Linked DNA regions of Nothobranchius furzeri. The main gene of each other region encodes a partner of the protein of the gene in region 3 in a complex. Links are inferred from orthologs where the notes say so. Each region holds a gene or a part of one and is shown on either strand. Other genes may lie near its edges.

Region 1 (4,270 bases), on a different chromosome or scaffold from region 3:
AAATGAGCAGAAAACCTAAATATTTAAAGCTCAGTTTGCTCCACTGGTTTACTGTGATGCTCACCTGTTCCAGCCAGATACCTGCATCATGGGGTTGATCTGAGCTGAGGAGGAGACTCCTGTTGTTTTGTTCATCTTCATCATAATAATGACAACATTAGATGACAACAGGTGCTCACATAGGTTTGTGCTGATGAACATGTCTGAGCAGCTTGACCACGTTGTTGTGTGTCGGGGAGGAAACACAACAACAGCAACAACAGAGCCGTGCTGGTTTGAGCGTGTCGCTGCTCGCTGGAGTTATATCAGCTCTGTCTGGACATTAGTTGGAAAACTTTCTCTTTCAGTCATGAACACATTACTGAGCGGTTAAAACCTCCGTTTCTGGGCTTCAACGTCGGAAAATAGCTGAGTGAACTCTGCGTTGAGTGAGAGGAGTGTTTAGTTTGTCTGAGACAGCGGAGCTGCAGACACTGGCAGCAGACGCTGGAAAAAACACAAAGGAGGGGCGCTTCGGCTCCGCGCTAATGCCGCAAAGCATCATGGGAGTTGTAGTCTTTGCGGTAAAATCAGCCAGTGGGTCAGTTTTAATATATTTTTGATATTTATCTCGCGGGCCACATAAAAATGCTCCGCTGGCCGCATCTGGCCCACGGGCCTTGTGTCTGACACATGTGTCCTAGCCAATAGCGATGGCAGATTTAAATTCAAATGAAGTGCAGAGTATTTATCTGACAACGGCACAACACTGACAGTTTTAGGCAGAAAATTTAAAATTTAAACTAAAATACACTTAAGTGCAAAACTATTGCCTACACGTGTCTGCAGCACGATTAGACATGCATTTATATAGTTTATCAGAAAAAAGCAGTTGATTTGGGGGTGACTTGCTCTTTAAGGGTACAACAACAACTGGGCCGCTCCTGTTACTGGCTAACACACCATTCACAACCCTGATGCCTTTTTCTGGATGGTGTCGAAATACACCAAATACATGCTGCCGGCTCAGCAGCGTTTACCAGCGTACACTTGGCAACCCTTCGGCTTACAGATCGTAAACAAAGACTACATCCCTCTTTGACTTTTTTGAAAGGAAAGGGATCTGAGATGGGTAACCAGCCAACAAAATGTACAGCAATTAGCTTTAATTTGTGGCAAATGCTTTGATCGTTGAGCTTTGCATTAGATCAAAGAGCTTTTGTATTTATACAGAAACTAGAACCACGCTGGATATGTTTGTTTTTTTTATCTCCAGGTGTGTTTTTGGTACAAAGGTGCATTCATGTTTCTGGTTCAGCTGAATGCTGATTTAATCTGAAGCTTGCATATCTCACCTTCAAACAAAGTATTCATTAGCATGAAAAACTGCAAACATCCCAGTGAGAGGATCCTTTTACCTGCTAAAAACATCCCCACGGATTACTGTGGCTGAGGTCATGCAAGTGAAACACACCTCAGGTAAAGACTGTTCTTTAAGGATGCTAATGGGACTTCTTCCCGCTCCGCAAGTGCAAAACGGCTGTGGATGGGAAAGGGGAAAAGTGACATCTGGGAAAAGTCCCAGATGAAAAGTCAGAGCTATAGGAAAAAAGCTCCCAGACAACCAGAGCTGTAATTCTAACAGCAGCTCAGGTGAAATAATCATCTCTGCTTTCTGGAAAACAACTATTTGTTCCAACGTTTCCTTGCTTATCAGAGGAATTCATCGACATTCTTCCCAAACAGATCCCGTCTTTGTTCTGGGCTGAAAGCTGAAGAAAGAAACTTAATGTGAGGTTTTATTTGGAAAAAGCAATAAAGTGGGATCGGAGGCTCTCCCGCTCCTCCGTTGTGTTCCTGTCGGGGATATCAACAGTGTCTGTATATATGAAACAGCTGGAAAAGGGGGAAAAAAGCTTGAACTCGGCTGCACTTTTCCTGCTTTCATCACTACACTCAGGATCTGATTGCATCATCCAGCTGAGACCAGAACCACAGAACCCACACTTGCCTCCCAAGTGGGGTGGATTTGGCGTGGTTGTGAAGGATGCAGAGTTACCTGGATGAGACACTTGCTGACGTCGCTGGCACAGAGGGCTTTGTTGCACCCAGAGGTCAGAGACAGCCCTGACAGGAGGAAGAGGAGAGCTGCTGTGACGGGGAGGATCAGCTGACCAGGCCTCATCCTGACGGGTCACCACCTTCCAACTGGAAAAGAGGAATAAATCTCAGAGGGAGAGTGACAGGAGGTGCAGTTACAAACACTCACCTGTTTGGCTTATTTCTAATCCAAAGTACTCAAAATGTATTAAATCTAATTGCAAACATCATGGAAATCACAGTTCTGTCATGCAAAGTTAACATTCTAAAAAGGCCTGCAGTCAGATTTCATTCAAAACATCTGGCAACATCAGCCCCCTTCACCCATTTTCTACCGGTTTCATCAAACTCTGCTCCTCTCTTCTGCCTCCCTGCTTCACATGAGGGAGAGGAAACATGTGAGGAACATTAGCTGCCTCATTCCTCTGCGCGTTTCTTTAAGCCCTCGTCTCTCGTTCCTTTTTGCTCTCTCGCGCTTAGAGAAACAAACGCAGCGAGGAAACAAAGAGATGAGGTGTTGGAAAACTCACCACAGCGCGGTTTCACAGCCGTTCAGCGTCTCTGTTCTCCAAAGGACCGACTTGTGCTTTCTCTTTGAACTTCTCCAGGATGGGGTTCCTGCCACCGCTCAAGTGTCCACTGTGTCCACAGGGCGTCAGTCTCTCCGCAGCACAAAGCGACAGGCAGTCGGGCGCCTTAAAGGCACAAGCTCCATTTTTCCCAGCTCGGCTCTGTGGAGGAAAACACCGGTCCTCAGGTCTGAGGGAGCCTGACTCACCCAGGGGGAGGAAGGGGAAGGAGAGAGAGAGAGAGAGAGAGAGAGAGAGAGAGAGAGAGAGAGAGAGAGGGGGGGGGGGGGGGGCTTCTTGGAGCAAAAACTCAAAATACGCTGCAGATCTGCATAAAATCCGCTCCAGCACGTGAGCGTGGTTTTATTTGCCTCTTTTCCACCCCCTCCTCCCCCCTTGACCCCCGCCCATCAGCGGCTCTGTGGGTGAGCTCATAGGTGAGAAAGGCCGACTCGGAAGCTGTGAAGCTGATCGGACTCCCCGCTGAGGAGCGACCCTCCGCGCTCATTTGTAGCCATAGACTGTACATACGTTTGTAGCCGACACGGAGAGGCTCCGAGGGGCCAATTACAGCTCCGCAGGGGCTCCTCCTCCGGCCCGAGGGGAGGAAGAGGAGGCAAATTAGCATTTTAATCAGACTCAGGGGGAGGCAGGGGGAGACGGGCTAACAGTCAGTTTGGGTCGTTTTTCAAGGGGAATGCAGAAAAATACAAAACAAGTTTGTTTAAAAGAGCTGATTTAGTGATTAATTAGTTACAAATCAGTCTAAGTAAATCATTAAATTTATGAAATAAAACAAATTGGTTTAATGTGTAAAACGTGTAGGGAGACAGCTACGTTTAAATAAACTAATTTAAGGTTTGATTTTCTTCAGATACGCTTACTGTTTTTAATTGAACAACATATTACTGAGTATGTCATTTTATTTAAACATTTAAAAATAAAAATGACCTAATTGAGTACTTTTTAATTCTCACGTGTGCATTTTAAAAAATTGAGTTTAAATGTTTCTTTGAATCTTTTTAAGATGGAGAACTAAAATCAAGTTTCAATATTTTAGAAAATTTGTATTTATTGAAAAATGAATTCGTGACAAATATACTTAAATACAAGTCTACTTTAGAGATGCCTTAAAACATCTGGAATAATTATTACAATCCTAATGTAATAATTGTAGAATGTAGAAAAAGGAATGTCACAATAATTCCTAATATTTATCATCTTTACTATTTCATAATAAATTAATATTGTAACTATTTTCTCTTGTTTTCAGTGTTTTAATAATTAAAATAAGGACATTTAATGGAGCTTTGCGCTTCTGTCACCAATAGCACCTCCTACTGGTGGAGGAGACACATTCAAGTCAAAATGAAGAACTCACACGAACCAAAATGTAATTTCACAACAAATAAAATTTATTCAATTATATACAAGTCATGTAACAAGTAAATATTAAAATAGACATTTTTTTAGAACTATCGTTCAAAAGGCATTATGTTGAAAAAATAGGATTTGTTGTGATCTCACATTGAAACTGTAAAAGTTTTTTTCTGGTTTCTTCTGGAAGCAACAACAGACTTTAATGTGTGCGAGACTCAGTGAAGAACACACGAAGGGTGAGG
Region 2 (4,196 bases), on a different chromosome or scaffold from region 3:
CCGGTGAGGGTTGCACCCTGCCAGGGTTGCCCTTTGTCACCGGTTCTGTTCATAACCTTCATGGACAGAATTTCTAGGCGCAGCCGTGGTGTGGAGTGTGTCGAGTTTGGTGGCAGGAGAATCTCGTCTCTGCTTTTTGTGGATGATGTGATCCTCATAGCTTCATCCAGCTCTGACCTTCAGCTCTTACTGGGTTGGTTCACGGACGAGTGTGAAGCGGCTGGGATGAGGATCAGCACCTCCAAATCTGAGACCATGGTTCTCGACCGTGAAAGGGTGGCTTGCCAACTCTGGGTCGGGAGAGAGGTCCTACCTCAAGTGGAGGAGTTTAAGTATCTCGGGGTCTTGTTCATGAGTGAGGGTAGGAGGGATCGGGAGATCGACAGGCGGATTGGTTTGGCATCTGCAGTGATTCGGACGCTGAGCCGATCTGCTGTGGTGAAGAGGGAGCTGAGCCAGAAAGCCAGGCTCTCGATTTACCGGTCGATCTATGTCCCAATCCTCACCTATGGTCATGAGCTTTGGGTAATGACCGAAAGAACGAGATTGTGAATACAAGCGGCCGAAATGAGTTTCCTCCGTAGGGTGGCCGGGCTCAGCCTTAGAGATAGGGTGAGGAGCTCGAACATTCAGGAGGGACTCGGGGTAGAACTGCTGCTTCTCTGGATCGAAAGAAGTCATTTGAGGTGGTTTCGGCATCTGGTCAGGATGCCTCCTGCACACCTCCCTGGGGAGGTGTTTCGGGCATGTCCTGCTGGCGGGAGGCTCCCCGGTCGACCCAGGACACATTGGAGAGGTTACATCTCCAATCTGGTCCGGGAACGCCTTGGGGTCCTGCCGGAGGAGCTGGTGGAGGTGGCTGGGGAGAGGATGGTCTGGAGCTCCCTAGTTGGGATGCTGCCCCCGCGAACCGGACCCGGATAAGCGGAGGAAGATGATAATGACAATTTTGTCTTAAATGTCTTCAAATTTTGATTTCAAATCTTTCAGTATCTAAATTAATATGTTAACTTTGCTGGTCAGAATAAGTTATTATGGGACTTACTGTAGAGCTGGACCTGCACTTTTTATTATTTTAATCATTTATACCATTTTAATTTCTCATAATACCAAATAATTTATTTGTATATTAAAGCCAGAGTCTGTGTTTATTTCTTCAGACAAATAATTATATTTTCAAAAAATGCCTAAATGAATAGTTTGACGCAAACAAACTATTTATTAATCCGAGATTCATCATCAATCTGCTTATCATCTATTGCATTTACCAGGAAATAGTCGTGCTGGACAAAAACTCCGTGAATACGTTAGGAACCTTAGAGTGAGCCGTCTTCACGCTCATAGACTATCTTAGTTGTGTTTGCTCTTCATCGTCTAACAGGAAAAACCGCAGAGTGAGAGGTCTTGCGGCTGGAGGAGGACGGCACTGAAAACATCGCAGAACTCGCTGGAATTTCGAGTTTCTGTTCCGCTGCTGCTGGTCTGGATCTGACCCACGGGATCGTTTTTAAAACAGGAGAAACAATCGGAAGCCAAACCAAAGCACCAATTAAAACAGGTAAGGCAGGTCCGCCCTAACCCATAACTTCTTACGGGTCCAAACCCTGTATGTACAGTCTATGGTCCTAACCCAATTGTCTCACCGTCTATGTCCTGGAGCATAAGTTACACACGGGGTTTAAAGGTGTTTGTTGTAAAACAACCGCGGAATTGCTTTCACAAGATGGACGAGTGTGTTTTTTTTTAACCAAAACTATGTGTCGCCTTGACATCAATATTATTTGATGATTTTACATTTGGTTTGTAGACTCAAGTGATTTAGTAAGAGTCCCATGGACTGATTTCTGCGTTGGCGCCAGGACATAGACGCATCCAACCGGGGGAAAAGTTTGCTTTACTTTAGCCGTAACTCGAAATCTCGCTGTTTTTAGGCGGAAATCACATTTTTATTTTATTTTAAAAGACTCCAGTTGGTGTCAGGCAAACGAGTCACTTTGTGTTTTTGTTTATTCTAAACCAGTTTGTTTACCGCTCGTTAGCCTGTTAATCGGTTAGCATGCCGGCTAGCCTTTTTTCGTAAATGGCTGGGAAAGTTAAAATGCGACAACCCTTTCGTGAGATTCTGGTTGTTTGTGAAGGTTGCATTTAGTGTGGACGTGCCCGGGTCAGACGGGTGTTTTTATCGTAAACAGGCAGCGTCCTCCTGGTTTTTGTCCCCGTGGGTGCTGCTGGTTTGGGACCAGTCTCATTTGCATCAACTCCATCAGCTGTCTGCTTTCTAACATTGTGTTTATTTATCTCCTCAAACTCGAGTAACGTCTTTGATCTGTTGCGTTGTGACTTTTAAGGGTAACTGGTGACTTATGTCAGAGAGGAGGTGTCTACCGCGTCATGGCTCATGACTGAGGTTGTTGTGGTTGTTGCTGATGGGACTCATCACTCAGCAGCCAATTAAAACCTCTAGTTCTATTCTTCTTTCTTTTTTATTTTACTTGTTCCCATCCAACCCCTAGGCCCAAACCGATGCTGGCTTTACATGAAACATGATCTAATCTAATGTCACAAACTCCTGAAGGGTAACAGCAGAGCTGCTGGAGAACCATCTGGGCTAAATGGTTGGTTCTGGTCTCGTTTGAACTCTTCAAATTGTTCCTAACACAGTCAGAATGGCTGCAGACTGAGCTCCAGATGTCTGAATGTGGTTAGAGCAGAGAGATGTCTGACCGGAGCACAAACGTTGGTTGTAATCGTGCTTTGGGCCAGTTCAGGCTCAGTAATGTAGAATCGTGTCAAAAAGCTGCACGTCTGGGCTGATCCACACATAGATTTGGCGTGGCTCCAACCACAGCTGCTGCCAATCTTTTTTCTGATGTTGACTAATCTGTGATTTCATTGATGCCTGCTTCCTGTGGGTCTCTGTAACTAGAACCTTCCTCAGAACATTCATGTAAGGACCAGTAAAGCAAAGGAATCAGAGTCAGAAGGGTTTATTTCCATATGTGTGAGAAGGTTCACAACATTAGGTAGCTGCTGTGGTGCTTGGTGCAAAAATCAGAAATAAGTACAATAAAATAATAATAATGTAGAGAAGCAACAGAGAAAAGACTAATATACACAAAACAAGTCGGTACTGGTGAGAGCAGATCAGACACAACACTGGGTCAGGTGACTGGAGTGGGCAGTCCTAGGATTGTTATTCATGAGTCCAACTGCAGAGAGATGAGAGGTTCGGGTCCAAATGGATCAGAACCTCCTGATGGAGCAAATCTAAAAGACTGTCCAGGGTGAAATGGTCCTGGAGGTGTACAGGTCCTGCATAGAGGGGTGTTTGCAGCCAATGACCTTCTCAGGTGAGCGTACAAGCCACTGCAGCCTCCTCTTATGTCTGATGGAAGTGTAACAGTCTGCTCACTAACACACCGTAAACACTGCTGTTGGTTGGAACTCTAATGTGGCGATGGTGATAGAACGTGTGCTGATCTACCAACGCAGAGCGACGGTGGAATTATTCACATTAGGGCTGGACAATATATCTGCATCAGAATCGGTATCTGCCGTTGTTTTTAACATGTCAGTATCGATCCGATAAAAAAAAAAATACTGGGCTGATATTATCAACCGATATTTTTTTCATCTTGTCACCATTTGTTTGCCTGTTTCAGAGGGTGAGGGGGTGATGTGTGTTTGTTTAGTCACGTGACAGTGATCGTAATCATCTCAGAAGCATACATGTGTGTGTTGCATGTACGTAATAACAAATTCAGCTTTAATGATTTTCATTCTATACAAAATCTGCTGATTTCAGAAGCATTAATGTCAGTATATCAGTATCGGCCATAACAATGACCTTAATATCGGTATTAGGGTTGTCACGGTGTGAAAATTTAACCTCACGGTTATTGTGACCAAAATTACCACGGTTTTCGGTATTATTGCGGTATTTTTTTAAACGTGCTACATTTTCATACAATTAAATAAACCCTGTTTGTCAGAAAATATTGTCCTCAGTTTGTGTCTAAGTTTAGCCTAAAATGTGTTATTTTGTAATGATGTTGTTTATTTGTTTACATTTTTTCCCTTTAGTCTTTAAAATACCAATATTTGCCCATAACTTCTTATTTTATGTCTGTTTGATGTCATCATTTTAAAAATATTAGATCAGATGATACTCAGTACTCAAGTAGCCTTCTAATCAG
Region 3 (4,053 bases):
TGTGTGTGTGTGTGTGTGTGTGTGTGTGTGACGACCAAATAGGTCACCTGACTTTCATGGTTCTGATTACTGTTTAAGGTTCTTGGATGAGGTTTAAGTCCTGAACTCCTGACCCAGGATCAGAGCTGAAGAACATCTTAAAGGAACAGGAGAAGAAGTCCTGTTTTGTTTCTTCATCCTACCTCATCAGAGTTTTATTTCCGCTCTGAACTCCATGCAGATGAAAACATTTCTGAGTCAAAGTCATGGTTTGTTTCATCAACCTGCCACTTTACCTTCCTGTGATGTGACTTAGTGAGGGTTTGGCACCAACAGCAACTTGAAACAGGAAAGAGTCTTTTGGCTCTTTGGTGCAAAACCTGCAGCAAAAGTTAAGCATGACTAATGGTGAATGAATGGAGCCCATTTGGTCAGCCATGACATGTTAAAATATTTAAAAAACAAGAATCTAAACTTCTCTCTAATCTGTAGACTCATGACTTTATGAAAGGTTTAATGCATCTTTTTCCATATAATCATCTGAGGAAGGAGGTCAGATGTGAGGGTTGCTTTTCTCTACTGAATTATCAGAGGCTTCACTCAAGCTAATGATTAGTCCTAATTTTAATCTGAGTTTTGGGGTCTTCAGATCAAACCTCAACAGATGTCTACGTGTTCTCCAGCTTGGGACTCACCTTCAGGGCTTCATCTCATTGTGTTTTATAAAGTAACTGGAGCCTCAGTCTCCTTCATCTGGCCTTAGAATAGGAAACATCCAGCTGCTGCAGCTCTTCAGAGCCACACAGATGTGTGTGTGTGTGTGTGTGTGTGTGTGTGTGTGTGTGTGTGGGGCAGCAGTAGCTCAACAGGTTGAGCGGGTTTTCCAGTAGTCGGAAGGTTGCAGGTTCGATCCCGGCTCCGGACAGAGAATTCTGCTGTTGTGTCCTTGGGCAAGACACTTAACCCAGCTTGCCTGCTGGCGGTGGTCGGAGGGACCAGTGCTCGGCAGCCTCAACTCTGTCAGTGTGCCCCAGAGCAGCTGTGGCTACATCGTAGCTCATCACCATCAGTGTGTGAATGGAAGAATGATACACTGTAAAGCGCTTTGGAGTCCTTACTCTGGCGGGCGCTATACAAAAGTGGGTCATTTATCATTTATCATAATTTGTGTGTGTGTGTGTGTGTGTGTGTGTGTGTGTGTGTGTGTGTGTGTGTGTGTGTGTGTGTGTGTGTGTGTGTGTGTGTAAAAGAGGGAGGAAGATGTGGGCTGAATTATCACTGTTAAATGAGTTGGGACAGAATGACATCACGGCGTAATTAAAGCCGCTCTCTGGAATTCCTGCTCAGGTCTGCTGCAGGATTCTGGAGCACCTGCGGGTTGTTGTGTGTGAGTGAAATATTTTCACTGGACAGAGTTCAAGCTTTGGAGGGAAAGAGAAAAAACGGAGGCAACCGCATTACGCCATACTCTCCTCACATGGAAAAAAGAAGTGGGATTTAAAGAAGTTGTTACATGGTACCAAGCAGAACAGTTCGCTGGAGAGCAGAAGACGGGTCCAGGTCTCAGAGTCTCACCTGTCCACCATCAGCAGTATGGTTCTGACACCTGACCCTGACCAAATGACTCTTTTAACCCTGTGAGAGTCAGACCCCGTTTCTCTAGCGTTTGGGAGCGAGACGCGCATTTTGGACCTCACGGGTCTGAGGATGAGAAAGGTCACTGAACTTCCCGCGCTCCTGGTGTCGGCTCAGCGGGTCAGATCGTTCTGAAGAGATTTATAGACGATGTGCCAAAAGGCTGCAGAGATTTAGGATGAGAGTGAAGAATCTTCCCCTTCTGCTCAGCTGGACGATAGTCTTCCTGCATCCCGTCCGCGGTTCGCTCAGCAGAACCAGAACCACCTTGGAGCGAACGGGAGGAACCGCTGGCTCTTGGAAACCAGCTCCTCGTGTGCGCGTGAGTGCGCTGCCGACCACAGGTGAGACGAATTTTGCCAGTCAGAAACCAGCGGGGATCTCCGCTGCACCGGGGAGGCTGGACCAGCCGCAGCAGGACGGAGCGCAAAGATCCGCGTGCAGAGAGGCTGTGTGCTCCTGGCGTCCCGCCGCTAAGGCACGTGTTGAAGCGCACGCGCCCGCAGCTGTTAACGCAAATGCTGCCAGGAAAGGAACTGAGACGTTTGGAGGAGGTGGCTCACCGGGGAAAGCCGCTTCCAGGGCGGGCGCAGCAGCCGCCGCTGCGCGCAGCGGGTATGAGCAAAAACAGAGCGCGGCTGTGGAGCGGGGCGTCAGCATCAAGTCACCGAAACCAGGCGCCAGGCAGCCGGTGGTGACCCCTCACGACTACATGCTGTCTCTGTACTGGTCACTGAGCAGCGGAGACGTGAACAGCAGCGCGGCTCTGGCCAACACCATCACCAGCTTTGTGGACAAGGGACAAGGTAACTGTCTCTGTCCTCTATAACGAAGACTATAGGCTTTCAAAGGAACAGAAAGAAAGAAAGAAAGAAAGAAAGAAAGAAAGAAAGAAAGAAAGAAAGAAATGAAAAACTGAATAACTTTCCTAGGATTTGGATCCAGTTCTGGGATCAGATGGTTTGGAAGCAGCAGAATGTTCTGTCGGTCATGTTTCAGTTGTAGGGAAACATCACTGCTGCTGCTCACACACAAACCTTACTTAAAACCAACCATTTAGTTCTGAGTGAAGATTTGGTGAAGGAGGGCTCTGTAGACCTCCACAGATCTAGGATCAGTAGGAGAAAGAACAGGATCTGAAGGGAAGGCCTGTGATTGGTTTAGCTCATACTGGAATAAAAGATATTTTAGTGTTTGCATTGAAAACTGTTCTTCTCGACCTCTAGGGTCCCCCAGGGTTCAGTTTTGGGTCCTTAGCTTTTCTCGATCTACATACTTCCTCCAGGCATCATTCTAAAAAAACTTAGTAAACTATCACATTTAATGCCTGGCAAGCCCGACTAAATAATATATTATTAAGTCCGGCAACACTCCATCGATGGCTCTCGGGCTCTACAGTTGCCTTTCAAACGATCTCCCGCACGCTACTGGACAATGAACAACGTGGCATACTCACCACAACGGATGTCGATAAACGAGGTTGTAGAAGGTAAAAATACATCCTTTTTCTAAATAAACAACTTAAAAACGTGTATCTGCTCCTGGTTCAATAAAGCCCAAGTCCCAATAGTCCAGAATTAATGTAAAACCCATTTAAAATGAGCGGTCGCCATTTTTTTCCACTCTTGCATCATCCCGCCCACCAGACAAACAGAGGTCCGTGATTGGTCCACAAAGCAGATAGGTCACTGTGACCGGCCCACCATTGTGGACCAATCACAGCGCTCTATCAGTTTGAAACCCCTCTAGAGAGCTGTGATTGGCCAGCCAGAATGCTGCTAGGGGCTGCAGAGGTTCTAGTGGAGCGTTCCTAGACCAAAGTTTGGTCTAGTTCACTAGACTAGTTCTGGGCTAGTTCACTAGGCTACACATGTATGCAGATGACTGACTACTACTATGTCAGCCCAAGCTCTCCTGCAGTCTGTGTTCAGGATCGTTCCTCTGTAATTAAAACCTGTTTTTCCTCTAATTACCTTCATCTAAATGAGGACAAAACCAATGCTATTGTAATAAAAGTAGCCGTGGGCAGCACGGGCAGAATATCTTGCCCTCCGGTCAGAACCTGAACACACCACCAGTAGGCAACGACTTATAAAAGACACACTTTATTGCACAACCAATAATAAAACACAACGATAAAACACCATGGCCCAAGCCCTCTCTTGTAAAACCAACTGTCCAGCATGAGTCACGTAAGCAGCGGTACTTAGCTGTCACGGATGGTGTGACCCCCGTCCCCGGGGTCTGAGCTTCCAACGCCGTCCAACGCCCCGGGGTGTAGCTTGCGAGGACGGCGGGTAAATCCACAACATAAGTCCACTGCCAGAGTCCGTAGCGGCAGATGTCGGCGCGGCCTTGGCATCACCTATGCCCAGCCCTAACTGTCTAAAGAAGGCGACCAGCCTTCCCTCCTGGCGCTGGAACACTAAACACCTGTTC

Evidence for each region. The genes of interacting proteins can lie anywhere in the genome.
Region 1: the proteins of gdf5 (region 3) and twsg1a are in contact, whole or in part, in a crystal structure (PDB 8BWL), measured with the Homo sapiens proteins. The link is inferred for Nothobranchius furzeri from reciprocal best matches to the Homo sapiens genes GDF5 and TWSG1. Residues at the interface, in NP_000548.2 of Homo sapiens: Glu434, Phe435, Pro436, Ser439, His440, Glu442, Asn445, Val448, Ile449, Leu452, Ser455; in NP_065699.1 of Homo sapiens: Cys26, Lys28, Cys31, Ala32, Ser33, Val35, Ser36, Leu39, Ile40, Cys44, Gln45, Cys46, Arg47, Cys73, Val74.
Region 2: the proteins of gdf5 (region 3) and bmpr1aa are in contact, whole or in part, in a crystal structure (PDB 3QB4), measured with the Homo sapiens proteins. The link is inferred for Nothobranchius furzeri from reciprocal best matches to the Homo sapiens genes GDF5 and BMPR1A. Residues at the interface, in NP_000548.2 of Homo sapiens: Arg399, Phe435, Pro436, Leu437, Ser439, His440, Glu442, Pro443, Asn445, Val448, Ile449, Leu452, Ser455, Met456, Pro458; in NP_001393490.1 of Homo sapiens: Gly65, His66, Cys67, Pro68, Ile77, Thr78, Phe83, Ile85, Glu87, Cys100, Met101, Lys102, Glu104, Gly105, Phe108, Gln109, Asp112, Ser113, Lys115, Ala116, Gln117, Arg120, Ile122.

What each region holds. Positions count from the first base shown.
Region 1 is NC_091751.1:42,813,369-42,817,638, reverse strand, and holds the start of twsg1a (twisted gastrulation protein homolog 1-A), read right to left. Parts: upstream 2,802-4,270; 5' UTR 2,610-2,801; intron 2,188-2,609; 5' UTR 2,165-2,187; coding exon 2,039-2,164; intron 1-2,038. UniProt on the Homo sapiens protein: May be involved in dorsoventral axis formation. Seems to antagonize BMP signaling by forming ternary complexes with CHRD and BMPs, thereby preventing BMPs from binding to their receptors.
Region 2 is NC_091752.1:44,663,075-44,667,270, reverse strand, and holds the start of bmpr1aa (bone morphogenetic protein receptor, type IAa), read left to right. Parts: upstream 1-1,395; 5' UTR 1,396-1,558; intron 1,559-4,196. UniProt on the Homo sapiens protein: On ligand binding, forms a receptor complex consisting of two type II and two type I transmembrane serine/threonine kinases.
Region 3 is NC_091743.1:78,134,798-78,138,850, reverse strand, and holds the start of gdf5 (growth/differentiation factor 5), read left to right. Parts: upstream 1-1,248; 5' UTR 1,249-1,792; coding exon 1,793-2,420; intron 2,421-4,053. UniProt on the Homo sapiens protein: Growth factor involved in bone and cartilage formation. During cartilage development regulates differentiation of chondrogenic tissue through two pathways.